Linked DNA regions of Sus scrofa. The protein of the gene in region 1 purifies or fractionates together with the protein of each later gene. This does not show direct contact. Links are inferred from orthologs where the notes say so. Each region holds a gene or a part of one and is shown in the gene's direction. Other genes may lie near its edges. The genes, in order: SIRT7, MYBBP1A, WDR77, UBTF and FBL.

Region 1 (4,149 bases):
TCCCCAGCGTGGCCCCAGGGAGCCCACCCCATGGCCCCTGGCTGCTGCTCCAGGCGGCGTGGCGTTTATGCGGGCAAGAAGCTGCAGCTGCTCCGCGGCTGTGTGGCGGGCTGGTTGCTGCTGTGTGCGGGTCTCTCCGGAGGCTTTTCTACTCTTGGTCTGTGCCTCAGGTCTGGGCACAACCCTGACCGTCAGCAGCGGCCTTGATAGTTGGTGCCCAGGCCCATGGCTCTGATCAGCTGCAGCGTGCTTTGGGACAGGTGGACAAACTCCACGCAGTCCCTGCCGCCTCCCCCCTCTGGGGTCGAGAGTTGGCCAAAGCTCCAGTCCACAGCTGGAAGCCACAGCCTGCAGCACTGTTTCCGCTCTGGGATCTTGTAAGTTACTTTTTTAGGCTGTGGTTTGGTGAAAGGAACCAACCCATTAACGATTTTTTTCCCCAGAAGCCACCGAATAATTCTTTTTGGCGCGTTTTCACCTTCCTCTTGGCTGTCTGGTTTTGGAGCAGATGGGAAGAGGCAGGGGTGTGCCCTGGAGACGGATGGCCTGCCCTGCTCTGGCCTGTGTGTCCTGAGCATGTGCTCTACCTGTTGGGTCAGTTGCATATGTTTCCACCCCACCCTGGAGCAGCAGCCTTGGTACCGGGGTGTCCTTGGCGGGAGTCTGAGCTGGCGTGTAGGAGAGCCTGTCCGAGATGAGTTGTGAGGGAGATGCCTCTCATGGCCTCGTGTCCCAGCCCCACCCTTCTCCCCATCCCCTCAATCTGCTAGTCCCTGAAGCCTTTAACCAAACGGGAGTGGGTAAAGAAAGCCTTCTCCTGGCATCTTAGGGCGGCAGGACAAGGGCTGTCCAGTGTGTCCAGCTCTGCTGCTCTCCCGACGCAGCGAGGGTGGGCCAAGCAGAGTTGATCAGCCCCTGCCTGCTCTGCTGAAGGCTGCGGACAGGAGGGGGTGGGGGTACCCTGGGGTCTGCGGGGGGCGGGCGGGGGTTGTTGAAGATCCAGGTGAGGAGGGGCCTCGCTGGGGCACCCGGGCTGACCTGGGGCGGAGCGGCCTCGCGCCGTCCCTGCCCTGTGCAGTATTTATTGCTAAATTATTGTCCAGGAGGGGCGGCACTGGGCCGGGCCCTGGGTATTTATTGCTGTACATAGTGTATGTTTGTGATATATAAGGTTTTCTTTATTTTGTATATGATCAATAAACACCTTTTAAACAGACTGGCAGGTGCTTCCTTGGGGCGGCGCGCGGGCGGGGCGGGGGGCGGGGGCGGCGCCTCGCGCGCATGCGCCGGCGCGCGGCCCGCTGGGAGGCGGAAGCGGAAGCGCGGGTCTCCCCGGGAGCGATGGCTGCCGGGGGTCTAAGCCGGTCGGAGCGCAAGGCGGCGGAGCGGGTCCGGAGGCTGCGGGAGGAGCAGCAGCGGGAGCGCCTCCGCCAGGTACGCCGCCGCCCGCCCCGCGCCGCATCTCCGCCCCGCGCCACCCTCACCGCCTGCCCTGCGCCCGCAGGTGTCGCGCATCCTGAGGAAGGCGGCGGCCGAACGCAGCGCGGAGGAAGGCCGGCTCCTGGCCGAGAGCGAGGACCTGGTGACCGAGCTGCAGGGCCGGAGCAGGCGGCGCGAGGGCCTGAAGCGGCGGCAGGAGGAGGCGAGTCCCGGGGTGCGGGCGGGCCGACCGGGGACGCGGGCCGGCCGGGGGCCCTCACCACCGGCCTCGGCGTCTCGGCAGGTGTGCGATGACCCAGAGGAGCTGCGGAGAAAAGTCCGGGAGCTGGCCGACGCCGTCCGCAACGCCAAGCACCTGGTCGTCTACACGGGCGCGGGGATCAGCACGGTAGGGAGGCGAGGCGGGGACAGCCGCGCCCCGGGGCGGCTCCCAGTTCTCGGGAAACGCGGACCAGCGGGACGGGGGCGGTCGGAGGGCGCCCCCTTCTGGGTGTCTGACCCCAGCACCGAGCACGGTACTGCTAAGCAGCAACACGGATTCACGAAACATTCCCCTTAAAAAGCACCTCTGAGAGTCTTTCCTTCTTAGAGGAGCTTGAAAGGACTCCACTTGGAACTTCACTGAGTAGATAAACGTTCTCAAACACTTGAGCTCTGTGTTACACGCAGTTAGAAAGAGGAGAGGAAGAGGGATACATCGGGGCGTGACAGATCAGTGCTTGCGGCGTCCTCATCGAAAGTTACGGGGTTAATTCTCCCTCCGAGGTGATGTGGGGAGAGCCAAGCCCCAAACCCTCTTCTGACTCTCCGTGCGGTGTGTGTTCTGAATGAGGAACGGTCGGTACCGGACAAGGCAGTACCGGTCAGGTTAGGGTGCACCCTGTGAGATGAGACATGCTTTGTTTTGCGAAGTTGTAGCGCGACGACCTGGGCGGTGGAATATGACCGGCCTTGACAGTGGGGATAGTCTGATTGCTGGCTGTAGGTTGAGTGTGACCTACAGGTGGGCCTGGCAGAGGTGAGTAACAGGGATTTTTGTCTTCAAGATGCCCAGCACTGCCAGGTGATGCTCGGAAGCCATGTTGACAGATACTTGTAATGTGGGGCTGGCCGCGCTAGGGCACTAGAATAGAAATCCCAGCGCCAGAGTTCCTGCTGTGGCGCAGTGGGTTAATGATCCGGCTTGGCTCTGTGGAGGCGCTGGTTTGAACCCCAGCCCAGCGCAGTTGCTTCAGGATTTGGCGTTGCCGAAGCTGCGGCCTGAGTCGCAGCTCTGGCTGAGGTTGGGTCCCTGGCTAGGGAACTTCCATGTGCCTCGGATGCGGTTGAAAACAAAAAGAAAAATTCAAGTATCCCCTCTGAGGTCTCAGATTGGGAGACCCATCTGGTTGGTTTTCCGTGGAAGGCAGCACTGAGTCTGGGCTTGAATGGTGGGAAAGATTTTCTAGACGCTTCAGGGGTAAGACACTGCAAACAGGGTTGACTGAAGAGGCCCAGTAACGAGGGTGTGTGAGGTACGTTACCTGCTTAGCAAACCTCTGGAGCCCTGGCACCCGTGAACTCCCATCACGAGATTCCGTAAAAGCTGTCATTTCACTTTCAAAGAACTGTAAGCAGCTGCGGAAGCCACGTGGCATTCAGGAATTGGCTCTGAGTGTTACTGTTTGAGGCTCCCCTGTTCAGGGTGAGTCGGAACCACTGGTCAGGGCAGGCATGTTCCTGAGTTTAAGCAGCAGAGAGGAGTCAGTGCTCCCCGGAAGGGGGCGCCCTCCCGGCCTGGGAGACGCCAGACGTCTTGGTCCTGGCGAAATTTTTGTCTCCTTCTCTCGGGGCGGTTCTTTCTCACTGAATTGGGAACTTGGGGAATTCAGTCATGTTTCTGTCACCTGAAGAGGCCGGCCTGTCTTCTGAAGGCAGGACAGGAACCCCTCACAGCGTCCGGTTGTAAGGCCTTGGAGGAGGTGCGTTCCGCCTAGGGCCTCACCATTTGCTGAGCACTGGCTGGGCCTGGAGTACACAACACCCAGATGAGCCTGACCAGTCCTGCTCCATGCTAGCGAGGCTCTCTGGATCCCAGAAGGATGAGCCGGACTGGTTGGGTGCAGGGGTCCAGGCAGAGGGAAGGAGTCGTGGGGGGTGCTCCCTCTGGGCGACCAGTTAGACTGGGAAACGCCGAGCCCCTGGAGTGAATGGAGGCCAGTCCCGGGACGTGCTGGGGAGATTCTTGGGGATTCTGCCAGCGCCTACAGTGATGCCCCTTCACTGGGCCTGTCTTCTTTCCGGACGTGCAGGCGGCCTCTATCCCAGACTACCGGGGCCCTAACGGAGTGTGGACGCTGCTTCAGAAAGGAAGAAGCGTTAGGTAAGCAGCCTGGCGCAGCCTTCCCACCTGGTTGAGCAGGGGCAGCGTGGGCCTGCCCTGCCCTGCCCGGTCCCCTCACCTCCGCTTCCCTTCCACCCGGCAGTGCTGCCGACCTGAGTGAGGCCGAGCCGACCCTCACCCACATGAGCATCGCCCGCTTACACGAGCAGAAGCTGGTAAGAGCCCAGGGCGGCGGCGCGCTTTGTCCGGTCGGCCCTGGGGGTCCGCCTCGGATACCGGAGGCCGAGGACGCTCAAGCCCCCCCCCCGCCCCGGGTAGACCTCCCGTCGCCTTCAGCCCGCTTGTACCACCAAAAACAATGGCAGGGCTGTGCAACTACCTGCCCG
Region 2 (2,783 bases), about 49 Mb from region 1:
GGCGCATAGGAGCCAGTGAGGTCGCAGGGAGGGCCTCCTGGGAGAGGGGTCAGCAACGTCAGAGCTGAAGAGGGCGGGAAGGCGTGTCCAGCCGGGCGCCAGTCAGACGCAGCCACAGCATCGAGCCCTCACGGCCTGGCCCTTGAACTGCTGGGGGTCTGCGGAAGTGTTTGCAGCAAGAGCATGGGCCCGGGGGCTGGTTTGCCTTTTCAGAAATGGGCAGCAGGGTGGGCTGTGCTGGAGCAGGGAGCCCAGTGAGACGCAAGCAGGTGGCAGGTAGAGGCGTGAGGACCGTTAAGCGGGTGGCGAGAGTGGGGCAGCGCACCCGCGGCTCGCTCCCCACTGGCCCCGGGTCACAAGCGACGGCCGGCCCTCCCCTCCCTGCCGCAGTGTCGTCTGTGGAGTGCCCTGCCTCCTGTCCCATCTGCACCTGGTCCCGCAGGGCCCAGCAGGCTTCTGAGCACACAGACCCTGGTTTTGCTTTCCAAAGGGCCTGGAGGCCACTGTCCCCCGAGAGACGATGCAGATGCGGCTGGGGACCAGGTCGGGATGTTGGCCCTAGCGGAGCCTCGCCCAGGGAGCCAGTTGCCCCCCGTTTTCCTCAGAGCAGATCTGGGCGTGGCCCCGGGGCGACCCCTTTGGTGACTTTCCTGCCTGGGATGTGGGGCCCGGGGCTCTGGGGCTTGGCTCCTGCTGGGCAGGGAGCAGGCGGGGGCAGGCCGCTGACCAGCTCTGGCCCTTCCCCCGCCACAGACACCACCTGTGCCGCTCCCGGCATTACTGCCGCGACGTGGGGGACCGTGTGGAGACAGTGTATGCCCAGCTGGAGCGGCTGGTGCGGCAGGCCGGCCAGCAGGCCGACTCCTCCGTCGCCCTGTACCACTTCAACGCCTCGCTCTACCTGCTCCGGGTCCTGAAGGGCAGCACCGTGGACAAGTCCGCCCAGAAGGAGAAAACCACCGCCGCTGATGCCAGCGCCCAGGGCCGCGAGGTGAGCAGGCCTGACCCGGGAAGGCTCCCATGCCCAGAGATGGGAGCAAGGCCCAGGGGGCGCGGGGCCACCCGCCCATTTCACGGAGTGGGAGTTGAGGCCAAGCCTTCCCCAGGATCCAGTGGTCCGCCCTCCGAAGGCAGCCCGGCCTCACACTGCGCTCTGTCTCTCGTGGTCCAGGCTGCCACCTGCTTGGACTTGAGCCGCGTGACCCCGATCTACTCAGCGGTGCTGAGCTCGTTCCTGACCAAGCGCAACAGTCCGCTCACCGTTCCCATGTTCCTCAGCCTCTTCTGCCGGCACCCGGTGAGTGCAGGCCCGGCCACCCCCTTGGGCCCCTGCTCAGCCCGCTCCTCATTGCCCACGTCCCAGCCCTGTCCTTCCCTCCACAGATGCTCTGTAAGAACCTGCTCCCCCTCGTGGTCGAGCACATAGCCAGCCACAGTCGGCCCCGCCATCAGGTAAGAGGGTCCCCGGATCCCAGGACCCGCTTGACTCCTGTCTGGCTGGTTATTGGAGAGGGGGGCGCTGGGTGTGGGGACGAGACACTTTGCTTGTGGCCTGAGCCCTCCAGCTCCTCAGAGCTCAGGCTCTGGCCTACGTGGAGGGAGCCCCGAGGCTAACAGGTTGGCCTGGGGGTGGGCATCAGACAGGCGGCTGGAGACGCTGGAGGAAGAGGCACTGAATTAGCAAAGGACCAGTAACTATGTCACCCTAAGTGGGGCCCCCTGTCCAGGTCCTCCCACCTGCCTGAGAAGAGGGGGCAGGAGCAGGCGATGGCCGAGCCCCGGGTGCCTGTGGTGACAGCTCAGGCAGGTTGGCCCCAGAGCAGCGGGCAGCCCCTCCCGCACAGCCTGGCCTTGTCACAGTCTATTCGGGTACCTGGCAGGCTCCCCAGGTCCCCTGTGCTTCCCTGAGCCTTGACGCAGCATGCCGAGGCTCCCGGTGACCACGTGTTCCCCGCCCAGGCCCAGGCCTGCCTGCTGCTCCAGAAGAGCCTGCACACGCGGGAGCTGAGACTGTGCTTTAAGGCCCCGGAGTGGGAGCAGCTGATGGGCCAGATCCTGGCGAAGGTCTCCGAGGTAACAGCCACGGGGCCTCCGCCCCCCACCTGCCATCAGTGGCTCTGGGAACCTGGGGGCAAGGAGTGCGGGACCCCGTGCCTGGGGCGGGTTTGGGTTTGCCCAGGAGGCGTTTGTTCCCTTGGGCCTCGGCCTCCTGTGGGAGGTGGAGAGGCCTGGAACGGCTCTGTGGAGGGGCTCAGGCTGGCCGCCTTCTCCCCAGAACCTGCGGACGCTGGGGGAGGCCGAGACCAAGTCGGAGCACCAGAAGGAGTTGTCCTCCTTGGAGCTGCTCAACACTCTCTTCAAGAACATTCGCCAGGAGGTGAGCCTGGGGCTCAGGCGGGAGGTCGCCGCACGTGCTGGTGAGCACGGAGCCTGAGCAGGGGTTTGGGAGCTGGTGGGAAGCCACGTGGGAGAGGTTCTGGATGCCGGGGGAGGAATCTGGGCTGTTCTCATGCGGGTGGTTAGAGAGTCTCAGGTCAAGGCACTTCACTGGGAAGAGAGGCTCACAGCTCGCACCTGGCCGGGGAGGGGGCGCCGGTGGGCTGTTGCCGTGCTCCCGGGCGAAAGCTGAGAAGGGGCGAGGGGGGCCAGTGATAGCGGAGGAGGCGAGGAAGGTTCCTGGGGGGCGGCTGTCAGAAAAGAGCCTAGGTTCCAGGCCTGCAGACAGGAGGCGGGCGTGGGGCCAGGAGGCCTCTGAGGGTGTCTGGTTCTCCCCCTCTGGCCTA
Region 3 (2,968 bases), on another chromosome or scaffold:
GGAAATTGATGCTTAGAGTGGTGAACTTGTCCAAGATTGAGGAACGAGCATCCAAATCCAGGCCTGGCTGAGTCCAAAGCCCATGCTCTTACCTCTGTGATGTCCCCCCTCTTTCCTTCAGGCGATGAGAATGGGACCGTCTCCCTTGTGGACACCAAGAGTGCAAGCTGTGCCCTCAGCGCAACTGTGCACTCCCAGAGTGTCACCGGGCTGGTGTTCTCTCCACACAGGTACTGTTCTTTGTCGTCGAGGGCCTGGCGGGTGTAAATGGGAACAGTGAGGGGAGATGCCTGTGTCGGCGGAGCACTGGCCGACTGGGTAGTTCCTTAAAGCAGGCACTGTTGTAGCTGAGCTTTCGGAATCTCAGTGAGGGGGCTCTTAACACTGCAGTCCTTTTGGGGGTTGTATGGTCTCTGACTGCAAATGGCTGAAATTCGGTGTTGTTCCTGCTCAACACCCACAGTGACTAATATTGTGGGCTTCTAGGGCTGTGTGGTTGGAAGTTGTTTCTGGGTTATTGATGAAGCTGTGGGGAGGGACCCAGTGAGAAGGTTAGTTGCTGGGATGCTTCTCAGCCCTGGCTTTGCTCCCTTTTCCTCATCTGTCTTTGAAACGTATACTGTAGACTTAGGTGTAGCCAGACCTTAGCCTTAAGTGGGGTTAGGCCAGCTGCTCCGATCACTTTAGAGTCGGGGTCTGGGGGCCAGTGAGGTTTTGCATTGGGGCCTGTGGGCTTTACCTCCCCCCGCCACCCCCTTGTCTCCTAGCACTCCCTTCCTGGCTTCTGTGAGTGAAGACTGCTCCCTCGCCGTGCTGGACTCGGGCCTCTCCAAGGTGTAAGTGTGACGTGGAATCCTGTGATCGGGAAGCAGGGCGGGGAGCAGCCGCTGGCTGGGTCCTTTTTCTCTTTGGAAAAGTGTATTGTCTCTTTCCACGGGACCGGGTGATGGAAGCAGGCTTGACTGTCTCCCTTGTTCGGGGCTGACTCACAACCAGCTCTGTCCCTGGCAGTGGGGGAAGGTGGTGGGGTTGGGATTTCCGAGTCTGGCCTTCCAGCTGTCTCCCAGAAAGGGGCAGTCTACCCTCCTCATGTGAAGAGCTACACGCAGGCAGTGCAGCGTGCTGTAGGGCGAAAGGCACCAGGCAGAGATTGGAATTGCACTTCCTTCTTTGCTGTGGTCCGCTGTCTGATGCTGACTTGTGTCATTACCTTTACTCTGGCTCTCATTTCTTCTATGAAAATCGGGCCCTGGATTGGACTGTAACACATCCACAGGACGTGCCCTGGGGTGTCGGGTCCGTTTCTTGGTCCCTCCTGTCTCTCTTACGTGCCCACACTTTTCTTTTTTCTCTTGTAGGTTTAGAAGCCGAGCCCACAGAGACTTTGTGAGAGATGCTACCTGGTCACCGCTCAATCACTCCCTTCTTACGACAGTGGGCTGGGACCATCAGGTCGTCCACCACATCTTGCCCACAGAACCTTTCCCAGAGCCTGGACTTAAGAGTGCTGCCGAGTAGACTGGATTTAAGACAAGCAAATCCCCCATGAGTATCTGCTCCCTCTGCCCCTGCCCACTCAGTTTGTGAGACAACACAGGAGCCTTATATAGTGTGTTGACACACCAGATCTGTTAATAGGCATTGTCTCTCAGCCTGGGGGAGGCTGGATCTGGGGTCCTGTAGTCACAGAGAAGAAAAACTTCCTTGAAGATGGACGTGTGTGTATGTGTCTGAGTGTATGTGTAGATAACATAATTTTTTTAGCAGAGATGAATAAAAAAAAATGCATCCCGCATCTTCCCCAAGATCTAACCCCCCTCCCCCCACAAGAAGTTGGCAGAAGGTTTTTATGCCTCCCATGTAGCTATGCTTGAGGAATTGACTGTGTCTTGGTAAGGTCTGGGCTGTGGGCATTGCTGGATTCTTGGAAGCAGCTCGTGACTCGTCATAGAGATAGGAGCACCTTTATTTTTTTAATAGAGCTTGATTCGCCTTTGTCATGGGCAGTGCTTCCATTCACAGAAGTCCGGCCCAGCTCACCTTGAGGAAGAGCCAGGACACTTAACATGGTTTTGCACATCTCTTTGCCATTAGACTGAGCCGAAGTCCAGTTGCTGGCTGAGTAAGAAGTGTGTGATGCCCACCCCCCGTGAAGTTGTGTATATGAGAGATGAGTGTATTTCTGTCATAGATGCCATGGGAAAAAGTTTCAGGAAGGTGGAGAGCTTAAAGGCACTTCAGTTAAAAACTGACACAGACTTTCATAGGAATGTCTGCCACTTTCCCACCTGAAAACAGCCTGGGGCCTGACCTTTTTTGCCTCTGGGTCCCTGCCTCTGGATCTAGGAAGCCTGAATGTTATTTTGGGGAACTCTGAAGATTTTAAATGCAGCAAGAGAGAGAGAGAATCGGAAATACTGGTCAGTGAAATAAAAAGTTGATTCATTGTTGGCCTGTCTTTTGAGGTGTGTGTCTCATGTGCAGTTAGACCTGTGTCACTTATGTGTCATCTGGGTACCAGTCCTATAGCCCGTTATTTTTTGTGTGTGCTTCCCCAGCCCCACGGAGTAGTTGGAACTTAAGGCAAACGTTTGGTTATTTGGTTGGTGGCTACTGCCGCTTAGAAGTTATGGGTCAATTACTGATTGCATTGAAACTAAATGCAATCAGCTATGTACTTTTGTGCTTTCCAAGTTTCATTTAGTGAAAATCCCATGAAACCGCCCCAGTTTCATGGGCAAAGTATTGGTAAGTAAAGCTTCTGTGTTCCACCCTTGCTGAGCACGAGCTCTATTCTCACAGTTACCCTCTAGTAAAAACAGGGCAATTTGTAGTCAGTGGATCTGTCTACTGGGTTTGCGGGGAGGTAGGAAGGAAGCTTCACTGTTCTTAACTCTAACTCCCTGGGAAGAATTGGTGCTTTGGTAGAAACACTTCCCAGAGGCAAAAGCTTAAAATTTGTGGTCAT
Region 4 (3,082 bases), about 18 Mb from region 1:
GTAAGGAGCCCCTCCCAGGAGGAGGGCCCCGTGCAGGGTCCAGGGCGCGGCAGGGACCCCTGATGGGCTTCCATCCCTCGCAGGAGTCTGAGGAGGACGATGAAGAGGATGAGGAGGACGAGGACGAGGACGAGGAGGAGGAAGATGACGAGAACGGGGACTCCTCCGAGGATGGCGGCGACTCCTCCGAGTCCAGCAGCGAGGACGAGAGCGAGGACGGGGATGAGGTGGGGCGGGCGGGCAGGCGGGCGGGCGGGAGGGCGGGACGGGGTCCCGCCAGCACGGCCCCCTGGTGACTGCACTTCCCTTGCCTCCCAGAACGAGGATGAGGATGAGGACGAGGACGACGACGAGGATGACGACGAGGACGAGGACAACGAATCCGAGGGCAGCAGCTCCAGCTCGTCCTCCTCGGGGGACTCCTCGGACTCTGACTCCAACTGAGGCTCAGCCCCACGCGGGGCGCCCCTCCTCGACTGACCACCTTTGTTTCTCTCCCATGTTCTGTCCCCTGCCCCCTGGCCTCCCCCACTTTCTTTCTTTCTTTTTCTTTTTTCTTTTTTTTTAAAAAAAAAAACAAAATACAGTGGGGAGAGGCACTGGAGGCGCCCAGGCTAGAACTCTGCGGCCTTAGAGCCATCAGCCCTGGAGGGCCCTCCAGGGAGCGCAACCACCAGACTGAGCCACCACTGGACCGGCCCAGCCCACCCCTCTTTTGCACTCGCAGTTCCGGCATGGACAATGGACCTGGGAGTGGGATCGGGGGTGGGTCCCAAAGAGTTCTCTGAGGCCCTCTACACCTGCAGCCCAACCCCTGGGAGGGTGGAAGCTTGGGGAAGGCCCCTTTGTTTCCAGAGGGGCTGCAGCCTGGACCCCTACATTGGAACTGGAGGCAGGGGACATGGGAGAGGAGGGCGGGTGCCTATGGGGAAATAGGCACGGCCCCCCAGCCCTCTCCCCTGCCCCCTGCAGGAAGGAGCTGCCTGGACCCACTCACGAGGGGAGGGGGCAGAAGTGTTTTTTATATATGTGTATATATTTTTTTTTTTAAGCTCTGAGCTGTCAACGAGACGTTTCCTACCGATCTCGGCTGCCGTCTCTGTTGTCATTTCTGGGAGAGGGAGGGGGTAGGGGTTAGGTTTGGGACTTTTTTAAAACGGTCTTGATGCGTGTGGAAAAATGCGTGTGTGTGCGTGTGTGTGTGCGTGGCCTGTACATAGCATGGGTGCACCTGTGGATGTGTGCAAAGGCACATGTGTATTTGTGTGTGTAAGAGAGGAGGAGGAGCCCACCTCAAGTCTGTGAATCTGGTGAAAGTGTTGGTGCGGGCCGGGGTGACATTGATCCTGATGGGGACAGGCTGGGTGGCCCCTTTCTCCATATCTTCTGCTTTGCCGAATCTCGGATTCAGTTTTGCGGGGTGACCGAAGCTCCTCTGATGCTTCTCATACTGGTTTCCCTCTGAGCTACTGCTGGTCTCCAATATCCAGCAGGATGGCGGAGAGGGGAACAGACCAGGTAGAACCTTAAAGCTTTGATTTGGTGGGAAAGGCCTCTGCAGCTCATCTGAGAGGCCTCCCGGCCACCCTGGGCTCCGAGAAATGTGTTGGAAGCTTGTAACTTACACGTCGCTCCTGCCTTTCCGCCACATCCTCCAGCTCCCCCACCCCCATTTCCTTTGATTTCTCAGGTCTGCCCACCTCCCCAAACCCACGGCTGGGGAAGAGGTCTGCACAAGCTGTTTTTGCAGCTGTCCTAACCCTTCCCAGCCATCCCCCCAATTTTGGTACCCCGATTCCTAAACTCTTAATAAGCCAAGCCACCTTGTCTCTGGGTTTAAATTTGGGGGGGTTGTTTTTATTAAATTTTGACTTTTTTTTTTTTAAACAATCACATCGTTGACCTATCTAATCGGGGCTTTGTGCTTTTCCACCTTCCCCTCTGAATGAAAGCCAAGGGATGGGGAAGAGTGGGAGCTCCGCCCAGGAGGCGGGCTGGGAAAGGTGGGTCCTGCTCCCAAAGGCAGGCGGTCCGCTTTGCCTTGGACTTGGTGCTGGGAGTGGGGGGAGCTAGGGAGGGACACTTCCCACTCCCACTCCCCTTCCTTTGTCCTGATCCTGGAATTAGGTACAAGGGTTCATAGGTTCTATTTCTTCCGGAGAGCCCCTGCAGAGAACCCTGTTTCCCTGTTTGAATGCTCCTGCGCTGTTGTGTTTTAGTGAAACATGTCTTCACTTAAAACCAACTTCGAGCGGGGCACTGTTTCTTTCCCCCCGTTTTGAAAGTTGAAAAATTCTTACAGTACAAACAGGGCTGTGGGGGGTTAGGGTGTTGGTGCTGTGAGAGGTCACTCTGAGTGCATTTTGGCACTGGGATGGGATGGCTGGGGTGGGAGGACCCCGCTCCCCCCCCTTTTTTCTAATATTTAAGGAGTGTTTTTGTAGGTTTCAACAACAACCACAACTTGAATTTGTAACATGGGAGGTGGGAGGGAATGGCTTAGAGGTGTCCGCCTAAGCTTAAGGCCAACTGTGGAAGTTTTGTTTTCCCTTTTTTTGTACAATAAAGTAAAAAAACAAAGGTTTGAGTGCTGTCTGATCACTGGACTCCATGAAGGGGGAGTGGTGGCAGAGGTGACCGAACAGGCTCAATGTGGAAAGCCCCTTGAAGCCAGCTTCTTGGCCTCTTCTTTCTAGAACCATCTTCCTCTCTCCTGAAGATGCCATAGGCAACCTACCTTCGCACTGTTTTGTGCTACTGGGGGTTTTTTTGTTTGTTTTGTTTTGCTTTGTCTTTTTGCCTTTTCTTGAGCCCCTCTTGCAGCATATGGAGGTTCCCAGGCTAGGGGTTGAATCGGAGCTGTAGCCACCAGCCTACACCAGAGCCACAGCAACTCGGAATCCTAGCTGCATCTGTGACTCACACCACAGCTCACGGCACCGCCGGATCCTTAACCCACTGAGCAAGGGCAGGGACCGAACCCGCAACCTCATGGTTCCAAGTCAGATTCATTAACCACTGCGCCACGACGGGAACTCCTTGTGCTACTGTTTTTGCACTTTCTCGATTCAGTTGGTTCACG
Region 5 (4,139 bases), on another chromosome or scaffold:
TCCCAGGCTAGGGGTCGAATCAGAGCTGTGGCCACCGGCCTACGCCAGAGCCACAGCAACTTGGGATGCGAACCACGTCTGCAACCTACACCACAGCTCACAGCAATGCTGGATCCTTAACCCACTGAGCAAGGGCAGGGATCGAACCCGCAACCTCATGGTTCCTAGTCGGATTCGTTAACCACTGCGCCACAACGGGAACTCCCACTTGTTTTGTTCTGAGGAACAAATATATAGGATGCATATTCAAGTTATAAAATTACAAAGCACAAATTTCTCAATACTTAGGCAGAATCTGCTCACTCCTCACCCCTTCCTCTGCCTGCATCATGATCCATTGCAGCAGGGCCCTCATTGGTCTCCCAAACCTATTCCTTCACTCAGTTTCCCACATACAGCCAGGCGACCCAAGTGAGATTATATCCCTTCTTTGTTCAGGAACCTCTTTCTCTCTCAGAGTAAAAGCCAAAATTATCACCCTAAAGCTCCATACAATTTGCTTTGTCGACCTCCCTACCCTCATCTCCTCCCCCTCTCCCCAAGATTACTCTGCCCCGACCACATCCCTCACTGTTTCTGCAACCCTCCTTACCTTTCCTGCTTCAGGGCCTTGGCACCTGCAACCCTTGCTGCCTGCGTTCTCTTCCCGCAGATAGAACATGCCTCCCTCCTCATCTTCTTTCGCTCTTTGCTCAAAAATCACCAGATGGGCTCCCTGACCACCGGGTAAGAAATTTCACACACTGTCCCCCACTCCCAACACCAGTCCCTATTCCCTCCCTGCTATTTTCTCCAAAGCACTTACAGCCTTCTATCATTCAACAATGATTTTTACTAACTATCATTCAACAATGATTTTTACTAACTCGTTTGCTGTTTGTTTCCCCCACTGCAAGATGAGCTCCAGGAGGGTGGGGATGTGTCTGTCTTGTTCTCTGCCATATTTCCAAAGCCTAGAACAGTGCTTCGTACATTCAGGCGCATAATTAGTGCTTTTCAAATGTATGAATGCGAGTCCAGAGTTGGCCCTTGTTCTTGGGGGTGAAAATGGATTAGGGAAGGCTTTGAGGTGTAGAGGGAAACTTAGGGAGTTAATCAGGAATAGAGAAGAGGAGCTAGGGTAGCCCGTGCGAAGGTTTGGAGACCTGATTACTGGGGTGCTTGCACAGGTGGAGAGGAAGCGGGAAGAGTGTTCAGGCAGCAAGCGCTGCACAGGAAAGGCGGTGCCAGCGGCGGTCGAAGAGGCGGTACCGGGAGGGGCTCGGGAATCCCCGCCCACAGCGCGCACACAAGCCATGGGCGGGGCTGTGGCTCCGAAGGATGGGGTCTGCGTGCTTGCGTCACGCGCCGCACGTCGCCGCGCGCCTGCGCTCCTTTCCACGTGCGTAAACCCGGGACGCGTGGAGTCGAAAGAGCCTCAGATTACTGAGTAGCGAACCTCTGTGCTCGCTATGAAACCAGGTACGGGCCGGGGTTGGGATCGGGGGTCTGGGACTGGGGCCTGGTGGGGATCGGGGTGCCAGTCCGGAACGAAGGGGTATGGTGGTCTTGGCCTGGAGGCAGGAGTTCTGAGCCCCGGATCCGGTCTCTTGTGGGGAGGGGGGTCTTGGTTCCGCTCTCCGGTGTGGGTGAAGGGGGCTCGCTTTTGCATGGTGATTGAACTTGAGCCCGGGGTTCGGGTTCCTGGTCTGGAGCTTTGTGACTGGCTTTCCCGAGGTCACAGTCGTGGGTCGAGGGTCTTTGGCGTGGGCTTGAGGAGGGTTGTGTCTTGACCTGGGATTCGTTTCATTGAAGCTGTCGTTAGAGGTCTTGGATGTTGGCCCGGCGGCAGCAATCGCGAATACTAACCCAGAATCCAGATCCAGGCATCTAGGGTCTCGGATCTCTGGGTGTGGGATTTGGGAATTTGTCCTGGTTCGGAGGCGGAGAGTCGCTGATTCGGGGGTCCGAAAGCTGGGTCTGAGAGGACCAGGTATGCTCCTGTGTCGCCACCGCTACTGCGGTACCCTTGGCCCCAACACCCAGCTTCTCGGAGAGGGCCGGCATGGATGGATTCTCCCGGCTTGGTAGTCTCTCTGGCCCATTTTCCCGCTCTCCACTTACCAGAGAGGGGCGGGTCCCTGAGGATGGAGATCCTGGGCCTAGTGCTGATGAGAGATGAGATGAAACTTGACAGCCCAGTATAGGATTAAAGTGGGGGGGGGGGCGCGTAATCACGGAGCATGAGTGTTTTTATCCATTCCGATCTTACTCGAGATTTTGATGAACCCAGTGCATCTCCCTCTTGGTCTAATGATGAGAGTACAGGCTTTGACAGCAGAAGAGCCTCCGTTCAAAGTTTCAGTCCTCACTATGCTTAATTTACTGTGTGATCTGGAGCAAGTAAGTGACTTTCTCTCTCTGAGCCTCTGTTATCTCATCAATGAAAAATGGCACCCAGCTCTAATTTAGTGAAATCATGTTAAGAAGAAATACCGGGAGTTCCCATCGTGGCGCAGTGGTTAACGAATCCGACTAGGAACCATGAGGTTGCGGGTTCGATCCCTGCCCTTGCTCAGTGGGTTAAGGATCCGGTGTTGCCGTGAGCTGTGGTGTAGGTTGCAGACGCAGCTCGGATCTCGCGTTGCTGTGGCTCTGGTGTAGGCCGGTGGCTACAGCTCCGATTAGACCCCTAGCCTGGGAACCTCCATATGCTGCGGGAAGCTGCCCTAGAAAAGGCAAAAAGACGGAAAAAAGAAAAAAATCAGCACCTGCTGACAGTCATTTCACAATATACCAGTATCAAATCAACAGGTTGTATGCCTTGAACTTACACAACGTTATATTATGTCAACTGTATCTCATATAGCACAGCCCTTGACATATAATAGTATTGGCTCCAATTGTTATCTTCTTAAGGGAAATGAGATTATGGTCCTTCTTCCTAAGTCAGGCCAAGCCCCTCCCTGTAACTTGGTTCCCTTGGAGTTGGGGAAATCTTCTATCCTGACCAAAAGTTTTTGTTTTTTTTTTTTCTTCCTTTCCAGTCCCCCCTGACCCCAGCCTGTGGAGGGATGGGGTCATCTGGAGGTGTCGGGGGGAGGGGGAGGCTGTTTTGTGGGTCCATGCTGCCTCCCAAGTTCCCTTTCTCTTCTTCAGTGTTTGGGGATCTACTTGTGGAATGAGAAGTGCCAGGAGGGTGTCTCCATGAGACCCTGGTATGCCTGCAAGCATCCTGTGGTCTGATTACCCCAGGAGTGGCGCAAGATACACCTTCCTTCCAACCCCTCCTTCGCTGTATTAGGCTGTAAAGTTGTAGAAATTGTCAGGAGTCAGCTCTTTAGCAAGGAGTTTAATCTGGTTGAGAGAAGAAGCCTTTGGGAGATTCTGAACCGAGACATGATGTCAGTCAGACTTGACTGAGACATTTAAAAGGATCCTTCCTGCTTCTGTGTATAAAAGATTTTAGGAGGGGGAGTTCTTGTCGTGGTGCAGCGGAAAACGAATCTGATTAGTATCCACAAGGATGTGGGTTCGATCCCTGGCCTCGCTCAGTGGGTTAAGGATCCAGCATTGCCGTGAGCTGTGGTGTAGGCCAGCAGCTGTGGCTCGGATTGGACTCTTAGCCTGGAAACTTCCATATGCCACGGGTGCAGCCCTAAAAACCAAAAAAGAAAAAAGACTTTAGGGGAACAAGAATGAAAGCAGGAGGAGTTCCCATCGTGGCGCAGTGGTTAACGAATCCGACTAGGAACCATGAGGTTGCGGGTTCGGTCCCTGCCCTTGCTCAGTGGGTTAACGATCCGGCGTTGCCGTGAGCTATGGTGTAGGTTGCAGACGCGGCTCGGATCCCACGTTGCTGTGGCTCTGGCGTAGGCCGGTGGCTACGGCTCCAATTGGACCCCTAGCCTGGGAACCTCCATATGCCGCGGGAGCGGCCCAAGAAATAGCAACAACAACAACAACAACAAAAAAAAAAAAAAAAAAAAAAGAATGAAAGCAGACTCATCAGTGGGAAGTTGGTTGCTGTCATCTACTAGGAGATGATATGGCTTAGGCCAGGGTGGTAGCAGTGGACCTGGCTGACAAATTGTCACCATTTGGGAACATATTTTGAAGATAGAGCCAACAGCTTGTATGCAGGTGTGAGAGAAGGGTCA

What was found.
Region 2: the proteins of SIRT7 (region 1) and MYBBP1A purify together in Homo sapiens (affinity purification with western blotting; 3 studies listed by BioGRID, with this or other methods). This does not show direct contact. The link is inferred for Sus scrofa from reciprocal best matches to the Homo sapiens genes SIRT7 and MYBBP1A.
Region 3: the proteins of SIRT7 (region 1) and WDR77 purify together in Homo sapiens (affinity purification with mass spectrometry; 3 studies listed by BioGRID, with this or other methods). This does not show direct contact. The link is inferred for Sus scrofa from reciprocal best matches to the Homo sapiens genes SIRT7 and WDR77.
Region 4: the proteins of SIRT7 (region 1) and UBTF purify together in Homo sapiens (affinity purification with western blotting; 3 studies listed by BioGRID, with this or other methods). This does not show direct contact. The link is inferred for Sus scrofa from reciprocal best matches to the Homo sapiens genes SIRT7 and UBTF.
Region 5: the proteins of SIRT7 (region 1) and FBL purify together in Homo sapiens (affinity purification with mass spectrometry; 3 studies listed by BioGRID, with this or other methods). This does not show direct contact. The link is inferred for Sus scrofa from reciprocal best matches to the Homo sapiens genes SIRT7 and FBL.

What each region holds. Positions count from the first base shown.
Region 1 is NC_010454.4:1,076,866-1,081,014, forward strand, and holds the start of SIRT7 (NAD-dependent protein deacetylase sirtuin-7), read left to right. Parts: upstream 1-1,340; 5' UTR 1,341-1,341; coding exon 1,342-1,434; intron 1,435-1,504; coding exon 1,505-1,642; coding exon of another isoform or gene 1,643-1,723; coding exon 1,724-1,828; intron 1,829-3,731; coding exon 3,732-3,802; intron 3,803-3,905; coding exon 3,906-3,978; intron 3,979-4,149. UniProt on the Homo sapiens protein: NAD-dependent protein-lysine deacylase that can act both as a deacetylase or deacylase (desuccinylase, depropionylase, deglutarylase and dedecanoylase), depending on the context. Specifically mediates deacetylation of histone H3 at 'Lys-18' (H3K18Ac).
Region 2 is NC_010454.4:50,493,305-50,496,087, reverse strand, and holds part of MYBBP1A (myb-binding protein 1A), read left to right. Parts: intron 1-753; coding exon 754-991; intron 992-1,171; coding exon 1,172-1,297; intron 1,298-1,383; coding exon 1,384-1,452; intron 1,453-1,959; coding exon 1,960-2,073; intron 2,074-2,275; coding exon 2,276-2,377; intron 2,378-2,783. UniProt on the Homo sapiens protein: May activate or repress transcription via interactions with sequence specific DNA-binding proteins. Repression may be mediated at least in part by histone deacetylase activity (HDAC activity).
Region 3 is NC_010446.5:108,913,137-108,916,104, forward strand, and holds the end of WDR77 (methylosome protein 50), read left to right. Parts: intron 1-121; coding exon 122-230; intron 231-767; coding exon 768-836; intron 837-1,358; coding exon 1,359-1,518; coding exon of another isoform or gene 1,519-1,549; 3' UTR 1,550-2,458; downstream 2,459-2,968. UniProt on the Homo sapiens protein: Non-catalytic component of the methylosome complex, composed of PRMT5, WDR77 and CLNS1A, which modifies specific arginines to dimethylarginines in several spliceosomal Sm proteins and histones.
Region 4 is NC_010454.4:19,003,566-19,006,647, forward strand, and holds the end of UBTF (nucleolar transcription factor 1), read left to right. Parts: intron 1-83; coding exon 84-227; intron 228-318; coding exon 319-444; 3' UTR 445-2,580; downstream 2,581-3,082. UniProt on the Homo sapiens protein: Recognizes the ribosomal RNA gene promoter and activates transcription mediated by RNA polymerase I (Pol I) through cooperative interactions with the transcription factor SL1/TIF-IB complex.
Region 5 is NC_010448.4:48,323,627-48,327,765, reverse strand, and holds the start of FBL (rRNA 2'-O-methyltransferase fibrillarin), read left to right. Parts: upstream 1-1,332; 5' UTR 1,333-1,451; coding exon 1,452-1,461; intron 1,462-4,139.